4 linked regions of the Saccharomyces cerevisiae S288C genome follow. Each later gene encodes a partner of the first gene's protein in a complex. Each region holds a gene or a part of one and is shown in the gene's direction. Other genes may lie near its edges.

Region 1 (3,012 bases):
TTTCTAATGATAAAGTACCCCTATGGGTAGGGATTGTCATAGTGACCGTATGCTCCTTTTTAGTTGCCATTTTCGGTATCAAACAAGTCATTAAAGTGGAAACTTACTTATCCGTACCCGTCCTGACAGCATTTTTACTACTGTACATTTCATCAAGTGATAAATACAGCTTCGTCAATGCATACGTTTCAAAGGGAAATTTGGACTCTTCCACCCGAAAGGGCAACTGGATGAGTTTTTTTTCATTATGCTATAGTATTACGGCTACTTGGGGGTCTATTACAGCAGACTATTATATATTGTTCCCAGAAGATACACCATATATTCAAATTTTTTGCCTAACGTTTTTTGGAACATTTTTGCCTACCTGTTTCGTCGGAATCTTAGGTCTCTTACTAGCTTCTGTTGCCATGTCGTATAAGCCTTGGTCAGTCGAGTACGATTCCCATGGAATGGGTGGTCTACTTTGGGCAGGTTTTCAGCGTTGGAACGGCTTCGGAAAGTTCTGCGTGGTAGTACTGGTATTCAGTTTGGTATCCAACAACATCATCAATACGTATTCGGCAGCATTCTCCATCCAACTTTCTAGTGTGTTTTGTGCAAAAATCCCTCGCTGGTTCTGGTCTATTGTTTGTACTATAATTTGTTTGGTATGCGCATTAATAGGTCGTAATCATTTTAGTACTATTTTGGGAAATTTCCTACCAATGATAGGCTACTGGATTAGCATGTACTTTATCTTATTATTCGAAGAGAATTTAGTATTCAGAAGGTTTTTCTTACATTTGTACACCAAAGAGTTTCCTACAGTTACAGGAGAAATAAATGGACCGGAACTTGTTGGATCTTCAAAAGAAGTGGAGAAAGATGCAGTTACTAATATCCATTTGTTAAAAAGAAAACATAAGGTGACTAAACATCGTTACAATTGGGACAAATGGGAAGATTATGAGGTTTTAACGCACGGTTATGCAGCAACATTTGCGTTTATTGTAGGAGTTGCTGGTGTGGTAGTTGGTATGGCGCAAGCCTATTGGATTGGCCCAATTGCTGCCAAATTTGGTGAATATGGTGGTGATGTCGCAATGTGGTTAAGTATGGCGTTCTCAGGTGTTGTATACCCTCCTTGTAGATACTTAGAGCTACGTAAATTTGGTCGTTAATTGAAATGACATAAGTATATATTAAAACTACGGTGCAGCGGCAAACTTTAGTTTAGATAATATTGGCAGGTAGATTCATGGTATGTTAAATTACGCTCAGGGAGGATATTTTTTTGTACACATTATCTTTTCACATGAAAATCTAAGCCTGGTGGACAATTGAAATCATCGAGTGATATACTGACACTTTGAACAGTAGCACAAATCGTTTAATTTGCTGTCACGATCTAAGTTTTCTGTCAGCTGACTGTCCACCAATAAGATCAGCGGATTCCAAAGGCGTCCTTCGAAAAAGCGATATCTCCCATCTTGGTTAGTAGCAAATAAAGGGAAGAGAAAATAAGACACACTCAAGGATAAAATACTTCGCTTCTTCCAAGTATAAACACAGGAAAGAAAGATATACGAAGATTAGAATTTTTTTCATACTTTTTACAAAACATTTTTTTGTACTTAGGCACGCTAATTGCGTAAAAATTAGCATAAACAGGAAATAAGATTATTTTGAAATGTATGTTATAATCCTCTTATTGAAAAATACATGAGATGTAGGAGAAGAACTACCAGGAAAGAAGATATTTAACAGATCGAACGAAACGGAAAAGAACTAAGAGAAAACAAATCTGGATTTGACTTTAAGAAAAAATTTATTTGCAAGTTTAACTCGTTCCCTGCTTTTCTATTTGGCTTGAGACGATAATTGCATAATTGTCCAAATTGTCCATCATATAATGAAGAATTCGATGCGAAATATTCCCTGTCACTTTCCTTTAGTCAACGTATTCTTCTCCCTGAAGAAACAGTATACTAACAATACTCACCCATTTCGATTTTGATGTTGCCATACAAATAGATAACAAGCACAATGCTTTCACTACGTCAATCTATAAGATTTTTCAAGCCAGCCACAAGAACTTTGTGTAGCTCTAGATATCTGCTTCAGCAAAAACCCGTGGTGAAAACTGCCCAAAACTTAGCAGAAGTTAATGGTCCAGAAACTTTGATTGGTCCTGGTGCTAAAGAGGGTACCGTTCCAACAGACCTAGATCAAGAAACTGGTTTAGCTAGGTTAGAATTATTGGGTAAATTAGAGGGTATCGATGTTTTCGACACCAAACCATTAGATTCGTCCAGGAAGGGTACCATGAAAGATCCGATCATCATTGAATCTTATGATGATTATCGTTATGTCGGTTGTACGGGTTCTCCCGCTGGTTCACATACTATTATGTGGTTAAAACCAACTGTTAACGAAGTCGCCAGATGCTGGGAATGTGGTTCTGTTTACAAACTAAACCCTGTTGGTGTTCCAAATGATGACCACCATCACTAATCTTATCATTCAAGTTGCCCTTCTGTTTCTCTTTTACTTTTTACCTTCTTCTTTATTTATATTTTTTTTTTTGGAAACCTAGCGAATATTCTTACCAGGTCTGAGCTTTTACACACGTCATGTTAACAAAGTTCCACAAGAAAGTTCTTTGCAGGAAGGTTAAGGCGAACGCTTTGCTCTATCTATAATGAAGAGCCAAAAAATACATAACCAAAAAGATCGAGAAAAGGTCGAGATATATTTTTATTTAAAAATTCTTATTAATATTAGTACTATTCATGTCATAACTGATTACTATTTCTATCTCTGTCAGAGATGGCTAGCTAGAGGTTGTTGCGAAGTTACTTCCAAAAGATTCTAGACTGTGCTTACAGCATCCATACACCCACCCATACATACTGATTTCTTTTTTTAAAGACGTCGATTTTTCGAAAAAAGTAAATTCTCGGCACAGGGAGTTGAATTGAACTTCCCTGCCCCGACGGTAAGCAGCTTACCGGTATTGCTTCGTTCTCC
Region 2 (3,149 bases), on another chromosome or scaffold:
TATTATATTATATATAGCTTTTATAGCTTAGTGGTAAAGCGATAAATTGAAGATTTATTTACATGTAGTTCGATTCTCATTAAGGGCAATAATAATAATATATTAATTAATAATTAATTTATAATAAATATATTATAATAATTAATATATATATATATAATATATTTAATACAAAGAAAATATATATTATATCTCTTATTTATTTATTTATTAATATTTTAATAAATATAATATTATAAAAAAAAGTTTATATATTTAGTTCCGGGGCCCGGCCACGGGAGCCGGAACCCCGGTAGGAGAAATATAAATATAAATATAAATATAATATAAGTTTGGTATTCATTTAATTATATTATTTAATTAAAAATATTCTAAATAAGAATAAATATCAATAAAGGAGTTATAAATATATATATATATTAATATATATATAAAAATATATATTATTATTAGTTCCCGCTTTGCGGGAACCCCGTAAGGAGTGAGGGACCCCATGGGAACCGAACCCCTATTTAAGAAGGAGTTTTATTATAATAAAATTTATATATATTTAATATATAATTATAAAAATATTATATAATAAATAATAAATAATTATTAATAATAAATAAATATAATAATAATATTATAATAAATTTATAAATGATTATAATAAATTTATATTAATTTTTTATTTTGTAAATACTAAGATTTGAACTTAGATAATATGCACCTAAAAACATACATTTTACCATTAAATTATATTTACCTTATTAATTATATAAAATTTATTAAATATATAATATATTAATTATATAAAAATTATTAAATAAATATATAATATATTATATATAATTTATAATATATATATTATAAATATTATTATATATAAAATATAATATACTACTTATAAAAATATATATATATATATAAATATATATATAAATAAATATTTTATATATTAAATTAAATAATTATTAATAAATTTAATTATAAAGTATAATTTTCAATAGGAATATTTATAAGATTATAATAATTATATGAATTATTATAATTATATATATATAAATAAATAAAATAATAATTATAATAATTAATAAGAGTTTTGGATATATATCTGTGGAGTATATATTTTATAAAGGAGATTAGCTTAATTGGTATAGCATTCGTTTTACACACGAAAGATTATAGGTTCGAACCCTATATTTCCTAAATCTAGATATAATATTATATCTATCTTAATATAATAATATTTATTTATTAAATAAAAAAAAAATAAATAATATTAATTAATATAAGATTCTTTTTTAATTATAATAATAAATAAATAAAAAGAAGATATTATCAATGATTTATATTAATAATAAATATAAATAATAAAAAATATATATAATATAATATAATAAATATATTTCCTTTAATATTAATAAATTAATAATAATAATAATAATAATAATAAAATATTTAAATAAATTATATTCAATACAAATTAATTATTTATATTATTAATAATTGAATAAATAATCCGGTCGAAAGAGATATTAATTCGATTATATTATTTATTTAATTATATTTAATTTAAATATATAAATTAATATATATATATTGAATTATATATAAATTTATTTTATAATTTTATAAATAATATATTATTATAAATATTTAATATAATTTATATTATTATTAAATAAAAGATTTATTAAATTAATATTATTATTTAATTTTATTATATAGTTTAAGGGATAATATTTTATTAATATTTTTTTTATTTATTTATTTAATTATATTATATATATAATATATATATAACAATAAATTTATGACACATTTAGAAAGAAGTAGACATCAACAACATCCATTTCATATGGTTATGCCTTCACCATGACCTATTGTAGTATCATTTGCATTATTATCATTAGCATTATCACTAGCATTAACAATGCATGGTTATATTGGTAATATGAATATGGTATATTTAGCATTATTTGTATTATTAACAAGTTCTATTTTATGATTTAGAGATATTGTAGCTGAAGCTACATATTTAGGTGATCATACTATAGCAGTAAGAAAAGGTATTAATTTAGGTTTCTTAATGTTTGTATTATCTGAAGTATTAATCTTTGCTGGTTTATTCTGAGCTTATTTCCATTCAGCTATGAGTCCTGATGTACTATTAGGTGCATGTTGACCACCCGTAGGTATTGAAGCTGTACAACCTACCGAATTACCTTTATTAAATACTATTATCTTATTATCTTCTGGTGCTACTGTAACTTATAGTCATCATGCCTTAATCGCAGGTAATAGAAATAAAGCCTTATCAGGTTTATTAATTACATTCTGATTAATTGTTATTTTTGTTACTTGTCAATATATTGAATATACTAATGCTGCATTCACTATCTCTGATGGTGTTTATGGTTCAGTATTCTATGCTGGTACAGGATTACATTTCTTACATATGGTAATGTTAGCAGCTATGTTAGGTGTTAATTATTGAAGAATGAGAAATTATCATTTAACAGCTGGACATCATGTTGGATATGAAACAACTATTATTTATCTACATGTTTTAGATGTTATCTGATTATTTTTATACGTAGTCTTCTACTGATGAGGAGTCTAAGGCTATAGAATTATATATCTAAATGATTAATATATATATTATTAATAATTAACAATAATTAATATATTATAATTTATATATATATATTTTATATTATTATAATAATATTCTTACAAATATAATTATTATATATTATTCCTTCAAAACTCCTAACGGGGTTCCCGCGAAGCGGGAACTAATAATAATATAATCATTATACTCTTTTTTCATTTACCTTTTATAAAGATAATTAATAAATTTATTTAATATTTATAAAAAAAAAAATATAATATTAATATAATATAATATAATAATGTAATTATTTATATTTTTATATTCCTTCGAGGTCACCGCCTCACCTCCAGCGGGACTTTTTTAATATGATATAATATAATATAAATATTATTAATTTAACTAATATATAAATTCATATATATATATATATTATTAATATTATTTTATAAAAAATATTTTTTATTTGATTATTATTAAATATTATATAGTTCCGGGGCCCGGCCACGGGAGCCGGAACCCCGAAAGGAGAAATATTAATATATTATAA
Region 3 (3,665 bases), on another chromosome or scaffold:
ATGCTGATTGCAAAGACTAAAGACGGAAGTGTAAAATTCTCTAGATTTTTACAAAAGGGCGGCAACAACGGTTATAAGTTGCAAAGAAAGTATGTAGCTATTGTCGAGTCGTCCGGTCGTTTCAACAAACCAAATAACTATGAAATTAAATATGGTCCTAAATATAATTTCTTGATTTCACATGGTGGTAGGGAGATTACTAAGTTCAAAGAAGTTGACGAAAATTGTATTGTTTTACAATTGGTTACAGGAAAAAAACATCAGATTCGAAATCACGTCTCTCAAATTTTAAATCAGCCCATATTAAACGACAAGAGACATGGCAGCACTGTCAATTTTCCAGAGTTGTTCAATGACCAAATAGCGTTGCATTCAGCGTGCATAATAACGAAAATTGGCCTGCAAACTAAAACGCACTTGATACCTATGGAACACAATAATACTGGCCAACTTTGGTCAAGAAAATACGTCAATGAAGAGGGTGAGTTCACTTTGCCCATAAAAGAAGTCCTGTTGGAAAACTGGGACCAGTAAAATAAGCAATAAATAATCGGTTATTAAATTATTTCTAATACACATATATAACGAGAATAAAAAAGGTAGTCACCACTAACCAAACCATATTGATTAATTGATGATTACTGCCTCTTTTTTTCCACAGGTTTGTTATCCCATAATGATTTTAAAGAGGCAATAAGACCAGCTTCTTGACTCTCTAATTTATATATACCGACGAACGATAAAAAGGAGCCCAAGCTCAATAAATACATCGCGTAATGATGTACCTTTCCATAGACTCTTTCAGAAATATAGTCTATAATGCAAGACTGAAATCCGATATGACAATGACCTAGCAGGACCAAGGAAAGAAATGTGTCGGTAAAAGTGGAAATAGGGCCTGTAGTGACCAAGGGAACTGCGATCAGCGGAAGAACCGCTAAGGACAGTCCGCGCTCGACAATCCAATGGTACGAACCCTGAGCTCTGCTTTCGGGCGGCATATAAGAGGAATCATTTGCGGTCCCACTCACACCTCCAGGTTTCTGTGGAATCTTTGGCAGAAAAGGAATGGTAAAGGATCTGGCAATTGAAGTATGAAAAGCCCTTATTCTGCAGAGTGGTTTCAAAAACTTAGTCGATGACATTCCTACTTTCCTAAGAATTGGGGCAACCTTTTTGAGAATCGTTGCTGATTCATTAGAACTGATAAACGGTCTGTCCACTGGGGACTGAAAATATATAGGTTTGCTTCTATGAAATTCGACGTCAAAATTAAGGGATACCTATGGCCAGCGCCCTTCAACTGACGATTTTTAGTTATCATACGCGTCCCTTATTATCTTAAACCGTAATAAAAAATCGTTACTTCGGATAAGGGTACTCCAATCTGGATGTGAGAGTCTGATAGTACCATGTTAGAGCCGCGTTGAAGGTGCGAATCAGGGTTTTATTCTCCTTAAACTTGATCCCGTCCAAAGGAGTTAAGAAGTAAAATGCACGGCTTTACTAAGACTATATTTACGTATTAAATTCCTCAACACGTAGTGAGGAAAGCTAAAATGCTGAGCTTAATTTCTCAGCCAACAATGGGTGATACTACTGTTCAGTGCACAGATTAGATGACCAATATTATTTTCACGTATTTAGTGATATTCGTAATCGAGCTGGACTCATCTCTTTAGTAATAAGAAGTGAATTTGAACGCTATGGATAAATCATGATATCTTGCTCTCAGGCATCAAACTAGTGCGCAAAGTGATAGGTGATCATACAATGTTTTCAAGAACAGCATCCAAGTTCCGTAATACACGGAGGCTTTTAAGTACAATTTCCTCACAAATTCCAGGAACCAGAACCTCTAAACTTCCTAATGGGTTGACAATTGCCACAGAGTACATCCCCAACACATCTTCGGCTACTGTTGGAATATTTGTCGATGCTGGTTCTAGGGCAGAAAACGTAAAAAACAATGGTACAGCGCATTTTCTAGAACACTTGGCTTTCAAGGGTACTCAGAATAGGTCACAACAAGGAATTGAATTGGAAATTGAAAATATCGGATCTCATTTGAATGCATATACATCAAGAGAAAACACAGTTTATTATGCTAAGTCCCTACAAGAAGATATCCCAAAGGCTGTTGATATTCTAAGTGATATTTTGACTAAGTCAGTTTTAGATAATAGTGCTATTGAGAGAGAAAGGGATGTCATCATCAGAGAAAGTGAAGAGGTGGACAAGATGTATGATGAAGTTGTTTTTGACCATCTTCATGAGATTACGTATAAGGACCAACCTTTAGGAAGAACCATTCTGGGTCCTATAAAAAACATAAAATCAATAACAAGAACTGATTTGAAAGACTATATAACCAAGAACTATAAAGGCGACAGAATGGTATTGGCAGGTGCGGGCGCTGTTGATCATGAAAAATTGGTACAGTATGCTCAAAAATACTTTGGCCATGTGCCCAAATCTGAATCGCCTGTCCCGTTGGGATCACCAAGGGGCCCATTACCAGTTTTTTGTAGAGGTGAAAGGTTTATCAAAGAAAACACGTTACCTACAACACATATTGCTATCGCATTAGAAGGCGTGTCATGGTCTGCACCTGATTATTTTGTAGCTCTGGCAACACAAGCGATTGTTGGTAACTGGGACAGAGCCATTGGCACAGGTACAAACTCCCCCTCTCCATTAGCTGTTGCAGCAAGTCAAAATGGTTCTTTGGCTAATTCTTATATGTCATTTTCCACCTCTTACGCTGATTCAGGTCTGTGGGGAATGTACATAGTAACTGATTCTAATGAGCATAACGTGCAGTTAATTGTTAATGAGATCCTGAAAGAGTGGAAGAGAATAAAATCTGGCAAAATATCGGATGCAGAGGTGAATAGGGCAAAAGCTCAGCTAAAGGCAGCTCTGTTGCTATCGTTGGATGGATCGACAGCCATTGTAGAAGATATAGGCAGACAAGTGGTGACCACAGGTAAAAGATTATCACCAGAAGAAGTTTTCGAGCAGGTTGATAAAATCACTAAGGATGATATTATTATGTGGGCAAATTACAGATTACAAAACAAACCAGTTTCAATGGTTGCCCTAGGAAATACATCCACTGTCCCTAATGTATCCTATATCGAAGAAAAACTGAACCAATGACCACGCCGATTTATTAGTAAGTTCATTTCACATCTCTGCTAATTTCTAATTTCTCTTCATACTTGTATAAAGTTCTATGTCAATAAATTCTTGTTCAAATGAGATGTTGCTACATAAAAAATATGAATAGATATCGGCGGCTCTAGTACCCATTCCCCAAAACACGATGTCGGTATATTAACAGCACGTGTATTTTCTTTTTTGAAGGATACATTAATACTTTCTTCCTAAAACTGCACTTATAGTGGGGTGTGAAAGGGCCCTTCCCGTATTCAATATTAAAGCAGCCCTTCAGATTGCAAAAAATGCACAATAAATTTGTTAATATAAGCCACAAGCCAAAAAAAAAAAAGTGATGCAATTGTATATACTTAACATAAAGATTTTAAGTTATCCGTTACCATTGCATACAGAATTATCCAGATAATACTGTTTACTATGCTCATCGATCGTTTCATATTGGTCATTGCCTTGAAAAAAAAGCACGTGAAAAAAATACTGTG
Region 4 (4,590 bases), on another chromosome or scaffold:
GGGCCCCGGAACTATTATTATTATTTTTATTTATTTATTATTAAAATATAATAATAAATAGTCCGGCCCGCCCCGCGGGGCGGACGCCGGAGGAGAATTATATTTTTATATAATAATTTATATTTCTATATATATATATATATATTATATATAAATATTATTATATATATTTTTATATATATTATAATTATATTCATTAATATTTTATTATAGTGGTGGGGTCCCAATTATTATTTTCAATAATAATTTATCATGGGACCCGGATATCTTCTTGTTTTTATTTATTATTTTATTAAATTTATTTTAATTATTTATTTATAATTTATATTATACAATTTATTATTTCGTTAATACCTTTATTTATATTATATAATATATTATATTATTATAATATATTTATTGATTATATTAATACATTTAACTAATGTGTGCTCTATATTTATTGAATAGTTTGGTTCTTATCACCCACCCCCTCCCCCTATTACGTCTCCGAGGTCCCGGTTTCGTAAGAAACCGGGACTTATATATTTAATACTAAAAATATAACTACATTACTTTTTTAATATATATAACAATATATATATATATATATATTAATTATATAAAATATAATACTCTATATTAAATATTATTTTTATCAATATTTATTTATATATATAATAATAATAATAATAATCAATATTAATTATTTATATATATAAGATTAATATTATTTAATATATTATGAATAATTTAATTAATAAATCTTTAAATATTATCATAAAAATATAAATTAAATAATTTCTTATTTATAATAAAGAATAATAATATATATAAATATAATAAAGAATGTAAATAATATATATATAATATAATATAATATAAAAAATATATATATATATAAATATATATATAATATATAGATAATAATATTTTTATATAATTTATTTTATTATTAAGTAATAAATAATAAAAAAATCAATATATTAAATAATATATTTATATTAGTTCGGTTTAGTTGGTATTTTGTAATGAGTAAAAAGTAATATATAATATTAAATAATAAGTATTGATATAAGTAATAGATATAATAATAATATTATTAATATTTTATATAAATAATATTAATAATATAGATTATGAAAGAGAGTATTAATATCATTAAATATATATATATGTTATATAATTTAAATGATTTTAATATATATATATATATTATATTATAGATTATGATACATTTATATAAATAATATATATATAAAAATTAATTATACTATTACTTTATAATATAATAATATTTATTTATAAAGATATAAAAGAATTGTTTAAAGTTATAACTAAAATATTATATAGTATTCATTAATAATTAATATTATAAATTCAACTATTGTTATATTTATAAATAGAATAATATATTATTATCCTTTAAGATATAACAATAATTATTTAAATTAAATTAAATTAAATTTAATTAATTTTTTTTTTTAATGAATATAATAATAATAATATTATTAAAATTAATATATAAAAAAAAAGTAAAAATGGTACAAAGATGATTATATTCAACAAATGCAAAAGATATTGCAGTATTATATTTTATGTTAGCTATTTTTAGTGGTATGGCAGGAACAGCAATGTCTTTAATCATTAGATTAGAATTAGCTGCACCTGGTTCACAATATTTACATGGTAATTCACAATTATTTAATGGTGCGCCTCTCAGTGCGTATATTTCGTTGATGCGTCTAGCATTAGTATTATGAATCATCAATAGATACTTAAAACATATGACTAACTCAGTAGGGGCTAACTTTACGGGGACAATAGCATGTCATAAAACACCTATGATTAGTGTAGGTGGAGTTAAGTGTTACATGGTTAGGTTAACGAACTTCTTACAAGTCTTTATCAGGATTACAATTTCCTCTTATCATTTGGATATAGTAAAACAAGTTTGATTATTTTACGTTGAGGTAATCAGATTATGATTCATTGTTTTAGATAGCACAGGCAGTGTGAAAAAGATGAAGGACCTAAATAACACAAAAGGAAATACGAAAAGTGAGGGATCAACTGAAAGAGGAAACTCTGGAGTTGACAGAGGTATAGTAGTACCGAATACTCAAATAAAAATGAGATTTTTAAATCAAGTTAGATACTATTCAGTAAATAATAATTTAAAAATAGGGAAGGATACCAATATTGAGTTATCAAAAGATACAAGTACTTCGGACTTGTTAGAATTTGAGAAATTAGTAATAGATAATATAAATGAGGAAAATATAAATAATAATTTATTAAGTATTATAAAAAACGTAGATATATTAATATTAGCATATAATAGAATTAAGAGTAAACCTGGTAATATAACTCCAGGTACAACATTAGAAACATTAGATGGTATAAATATAATATATTTAAATAAATTATCAAATGAATTAGGAACAGGTAAATTCAAATTTAAACCCATGAGAATAGTTAATATTCCTAAACCTAAAGGTGGTATAAGACCTTTAAGTGTAGGTAATCCAAGAGATAAAATTGTACAAGAAGTTATAAGAATAATTTTAGATACAATTTTTGATAAAAAGATATCAACACATTCACATGGTTTTAGAAAGAATATAAGTTGTCAAACAGCAATTTGAGAAGTTAGAAATATATTTGGTGGAAGTAATTGATTTATTGAAGTAGACTTAAAAAAATGTTTTGATACAATTTCTCATGATTTAATTATTAAAGAATTAAAAAGATATATTTCAGATAAAGGTTTTATTGATTTAGTATATAAATTATTAAGAGCTGGTTATATTGATGAGAAAGGAACTTATCATAAACCTATATTAGGTTTACCTCAAGGATCATTAATTAGTCCTATCTTATGTAATATTGTAATAACATTGGTAGATAATTGATTAGAAGATTATATTAATTTATATAATAAAGGTAAAGTTAAAAAACAACATCCTACATATAAAAAATTATCAAGAATAATTGCAAAAGCTAAAATATTTTCGACAAGATTAAAATTACATAAAGAAAGAGCTAAAGGCCCACTATTTATTTATAATGATCCTAATTTCAAGAGAATAAAATACGTTAGATATGCAGATGATATTTTAATTGGGGTATTAGGTTCAAAAAATGATTGTAAAATAATCAAAAGAGATTTAAACAATTTTTTAAATTCATTAGGTTTAACTATAAATGAAGAAAAAACTTTAATTACTTGTGCAACTGAACTACCAGCAAGATTTTTAGGTTATAATATTTCAATTACACCTTTAAAAAGAATACCTACAGTTACTAAACTAATTAGAGGTAAACTTATTAGAAGTAGAAATACAACTAGACCTATTATTAATGCACCAATTAGAGATATTATCAATAAATTAGCTACTAATGGATATTGTAAGCATAATAAAAATGGTAGAATAGGAGTGCCTACAAGAGTAGGTAGATGACTATATGAAGAACCTAGAACAATTATTAATAATTATAAAGCGTTAGGTAGAGGTATCTTAAATTATTATAAATTAGCTACTAATTATAAAAGATTAAGAGAAAGAATCTATTACGTATTATATTATTCATGTGTATTAACTTTAGCTAGTAAATATAGATTAAAAACAATAAGTAAAACTATTAAAAAATTTGGTTATAATTTAAATATTATTGAAAATGATAAATTAATTGCCAATTTTCCAAGAAATACTTTTGATAATATCAAAAAAATTGAAAATCATGGTATATTTATATATATATCAGAAGCTAAAGTAACTGATCCTTTTGAATATATCGATTCAATTAAATATATATTACCTACAGCTAAAGCTAATTTTAATAAACCTTGTAGTATTTGTAATTCAACTATTGATGTAGAAATACATCATGTTAAACAATTACATAGAGGTATATTAAAAGCACTTAAAGATTATATTCTAGGTAGAATAATTACCATAAACAGAAAACAAATTCCATTATGTAAACAATGTCATATTAAAACACATAAAAATAAATTTAAAAATATAGGACCTGGTATATAAAATCTATTATTAATGATACTCAATATGGAAAGCCGTATGATGGGAAACTATCACGTACGGTTTGGGAAAGGCTCTTTAACACGTGGCAACATAGGTTAATTTGCTATTTCATTTTTAGTAGTTGGTCATGCTGTATTAATGATTTTCTGTGCGCCGTTTCGCTTAATTTATCACTGTATTGAAGTGTTAATTGATAAACATATCTCTGTTTATTCAATTAATGAAAACTTTACCGTATCATTTTGGTTCTGATTATTAGTAGTAACATACATAGTATTTAGATACGTAAACCATATGGCTTACCCAGTTGGGGCCAACTCAACGGGGACAATAGCATGCCATAAAAGCGCTGGAGTAAAACAGCCAGCGCAAGGTAAGAACTGTCCGATGGCTAGGTTAACGAATTCCTGTAAAGAATGTTTAGGGTTCTCATTAACTCCTTCCCACTTGGGGATTGTGATTCATGCTTATGTATTGGAAGAAGAGGTACACGAGTTAACCAAAAATGAATCATTAGCTTTAAGTAAAAGTTGACATTTGGAGGGCTGTACGAGTTCAAATGGAA

The links.
Region 2: the proteins of COX4 (region 1) and COX3 are in contact, whole or in part, in a cryo-EM structure (PDB 7Z10), measured with the Saccharomyces cerevisiae proteins. Residues at the interface, in NP_011328.1 of Saccharomyces cerevisiae: Leu37 (codon at 2,137), Val40 (codon at 2,146), Asn41 (codon at 2,149), Gly42 (codon at 2,152), Pro43 (codon at 2,155), Glu53 (codon at 2,185), Gly54 (codon at 2,188), Thr55 (codon at 2,191), Val56 (codon at 2,194), Pro57 (codon at 2,197), Asp59 (codon at 2,203), Gln62 (codon at 2,212), Glu63 (codon at 2,215), Thr64 (codon at 2,218), Gly65 (codon at 2,221), Leu66 (codon at 2,224), Ala67 (codon at 2,227), Leu69 (codon at 2,233), Glu70 (codon at 2,236), Val80 (codon at 2,266), Phe81 (codon at 2,269), Asp82 (codon at 2,272), Tyr103 (codon at 2,335), Val146 (codon at 2,464), Gly147 (codon at 2,467), Val148 (codon at 2,470); in NP_009328.1 of Saccharomyces cerevisiae: Met1 (codon at 1,799), His3 (codon at 1,805), Leu4 (codon at 1,808), Glu5 (codon at 1,811), Arg6 (codon at 1,814), Ser7 (codon at 1,817), Arg8 (codon at 1,820), His9 (codon at 1,823), Gln10 (codon at 1,826), Gln11 (codon at 1,829), His12 (codon at 1,832), Pro13 (codon at 1,835), Thr74 (codon at 2,018), Tyr75 (codon at 2,021), Leu76 (codon at 2,024), Gly77 (codon at 2,027), His79 (codon at 2,033), Thr80 (codon at 2,036), Met81, Leu159 (codon at 2,273), Gly162 (codon at 2,282), Arg164 (codon at 2,288), Tyr233 (codon at 2,495), Leu235 (codon at 2,501), Thr236 (codon at 2,504), Ala237 (codon at 2,507), Gly238 (codon at 2,510), His239 (codon at 2,513).
Region 3: the proteins of COX4 (region 1) and MAS1 are in contact, whole or in part, in a crystal structure (PDB 1HR8), measured with the Saccharomyces cerevisiae proteins. Residues at the interface, in NP_011328.1 of Saccharomyces cerevisiae: Ile8 (codon at 2,050), Arg9 (codon at 2,053), Phe10 (codon at 2,056), Phe11 (codon at 2,059), Lys12 (codon at 2,062), Pro13 (codon at 2,065), Ala14 (codon at 2,068), Thr15 (codon at 2,071), Arg16 (codon at 2,074), Thr17 (codon at 2,077), Leu18 (codon at 2,080), Cys19 (codon at 2,083); in NP_013264.1 of Saccharomyces cerevisiae: His70 (codon at 1,981), His74 (codon at 1,993), Phe77 (codon at 2,002), Asn100 (codon at 2,071), Ala101 (codon at 2,074), Tyr102 (codon at 2,077), Thr103 (codon at 2,080), Ser104 (codon at 2,083), Arg105 (codon at 2,086), Glu150 (codon at 2,221), Val154 (codon at 2,233), Glu160 (codon at 2,251), Ile180 (codon at 2,311), Leu181 (codon at 2,314), Trp277 (codon at 2,602), Tyr282 (codon at 2,617), Leu286 (codon at 2,629), Gln289 (codon at 2,638), Ala290 (codon at 2,641), Asn294 (codon at 2,653), Gly302 (codon at 2,677), Met324 (codon at 2,743), Ser327 (codon at 2,752), Thr328 (codon at 2,755), Ser329 (codon at 2,758), Gln379 (codon at 2,908), Leu380 (codon at 2,911).
Region 4: the proteins of COX4 (region 1) and COX1 are in contact, whole or in part, in a cryo-EM structure (PDB 6T0B), measured with the Saccharomyces cerevisiae proteins. Residues at the interface, in NP_011328.1 of Saccharomyces cerevisiae: Asp82 (codon at 2,272), Thr83 (codon at 2,275), Lys84 (codon at 2,278), Pro85 (codon at 2,281), Leu86 (codon at 2,284), Ser102 (codon at 2,332), Tyr103 (codon at 2,335), Asp104 (codon at 2,338), Tyr106 (codon at 2,344), Arg107 (codon at 2,347), Tyr108 (codon at 2,350), Val109 (codon at 2,353), Gly110 (codon at 2,356), Cys111 (codon at 2,359), Thr112 (codon at 2,362), Ala116 (codon at 2,374), Thr120 (codon at 2,386), Ile121 (codon at 2,389), Met122 (codon at 2,392), Trp123 (codon at 2,395), Leu124 (codon at 2,398), Lys125 (codon at 2,401), Arg133 (codon at 2,425), Cys134 (codon at 2,428), Trp135 (codon at 2,431); in NP_009305.1 of Saccharomyces cerevisiae: Thr174, Asn175, Gly176, Met177, Pro266, Asp496, Glu499, Leu506, Asn507, Val509, Lys510, Ser511, Ser512, Ser513, Ile514, Leu517, Leu518, Thr519, His525, Phe527, Asn528, Thr529, Pro530, Ala531, Val532, Gln533, Ser534.

What each region holds. Positions count from the first base shown.
Region 1 is NC_001139.9:149,188-152,199, reverse strand, and holds COX4 (cytochrome c oxidase subunit IV), read left to right. Parts: upstream 1-2,028; coding exon 2,029-2,496; downstream 2,497-3,012. Other genes in the region: TPN1 (Tpn1p), read left to right, coding at 1-1,163. UniProt on the Saccharomyces cerevisiae protein: Component of the cytochrome c oxidase, the last enzyme in the mitochondrial electron transport chain which drives oxidative phosphorylation.
Region 2 is NC_001224.1:77,415-80,563, forward strand, and holds COX3 (cytochrome c oxidase subunit 3), read left to right. Parts: upstream 1-1,798; coding exon 1,799-2,608; downstream 2,609-3,149. UniProt on the Saccharomyces cerevisiae protein: Component of the cytochrome c oxidase, the last enzyme in the mitochondrial electron transport chain which drives oxidative phosphorylation.
Region 3 is NC_001144.5:491,363-495,027, reverse strand, and holds MAS1 (mitochondrial processing peptidase), read left to right. Parts: upstream 1-1,773; coding exon 1,774-3,162; downstream 3,163-3,665. Other genes in the region: pseudouridine synthase PUS5, read left to right, coding at 1-534; protein SHH4, read right to left, coding at 639-1,145. UniProt on the Saccharomyces cerevisiae protein: Catalytic subunit of the essential mitochondrial processing protease (MPP), which cleaves the mitochondrial sequence off newly imported precursors proteins. Preferentially, cleaves after an arginine at position P2.
Region 4 is NC_001224.1:12,298-16,887, forward strand, and holds the start of COX1 (cytochrome c oxidase subunit 1), read left to right. Parts: upstream 1-1,520; coding exon 1,521-1,689; coding exon of another isoform or gene 1,690-4,025; intron 4,026-4,137; coding exon 4,138-4,173; coding exon of another isoform or gene 4,174-4,590. Other genes in the region: intron-encoded reverse transcriptase aI2, read left to right, coding at 1,521-1,689, 4,138-4,590; AI5_ALPHA (intron-encoded DNA endonuclease aI5 alpha), read left to right, coding at 1,521-1,689, 4,138-4,173; intron-encoded DNA endonuclease aI4, read left to right, coding at 1,521-1,689, 4,138-4,173; intron-encoded DNA endonuclease aI3, read left to right, coding at 1,521-1,689, 4,138-4,173; intron-encoded reverse transcriptase aI1, read left to right, coding at 1,521-4,025. UniProt on the Saccharomyces cerevisiae protein: Component of the cytochrome c oxidase, the last enzyme in the mitochondrial electron transport chain which drives oxidative phosphorylation.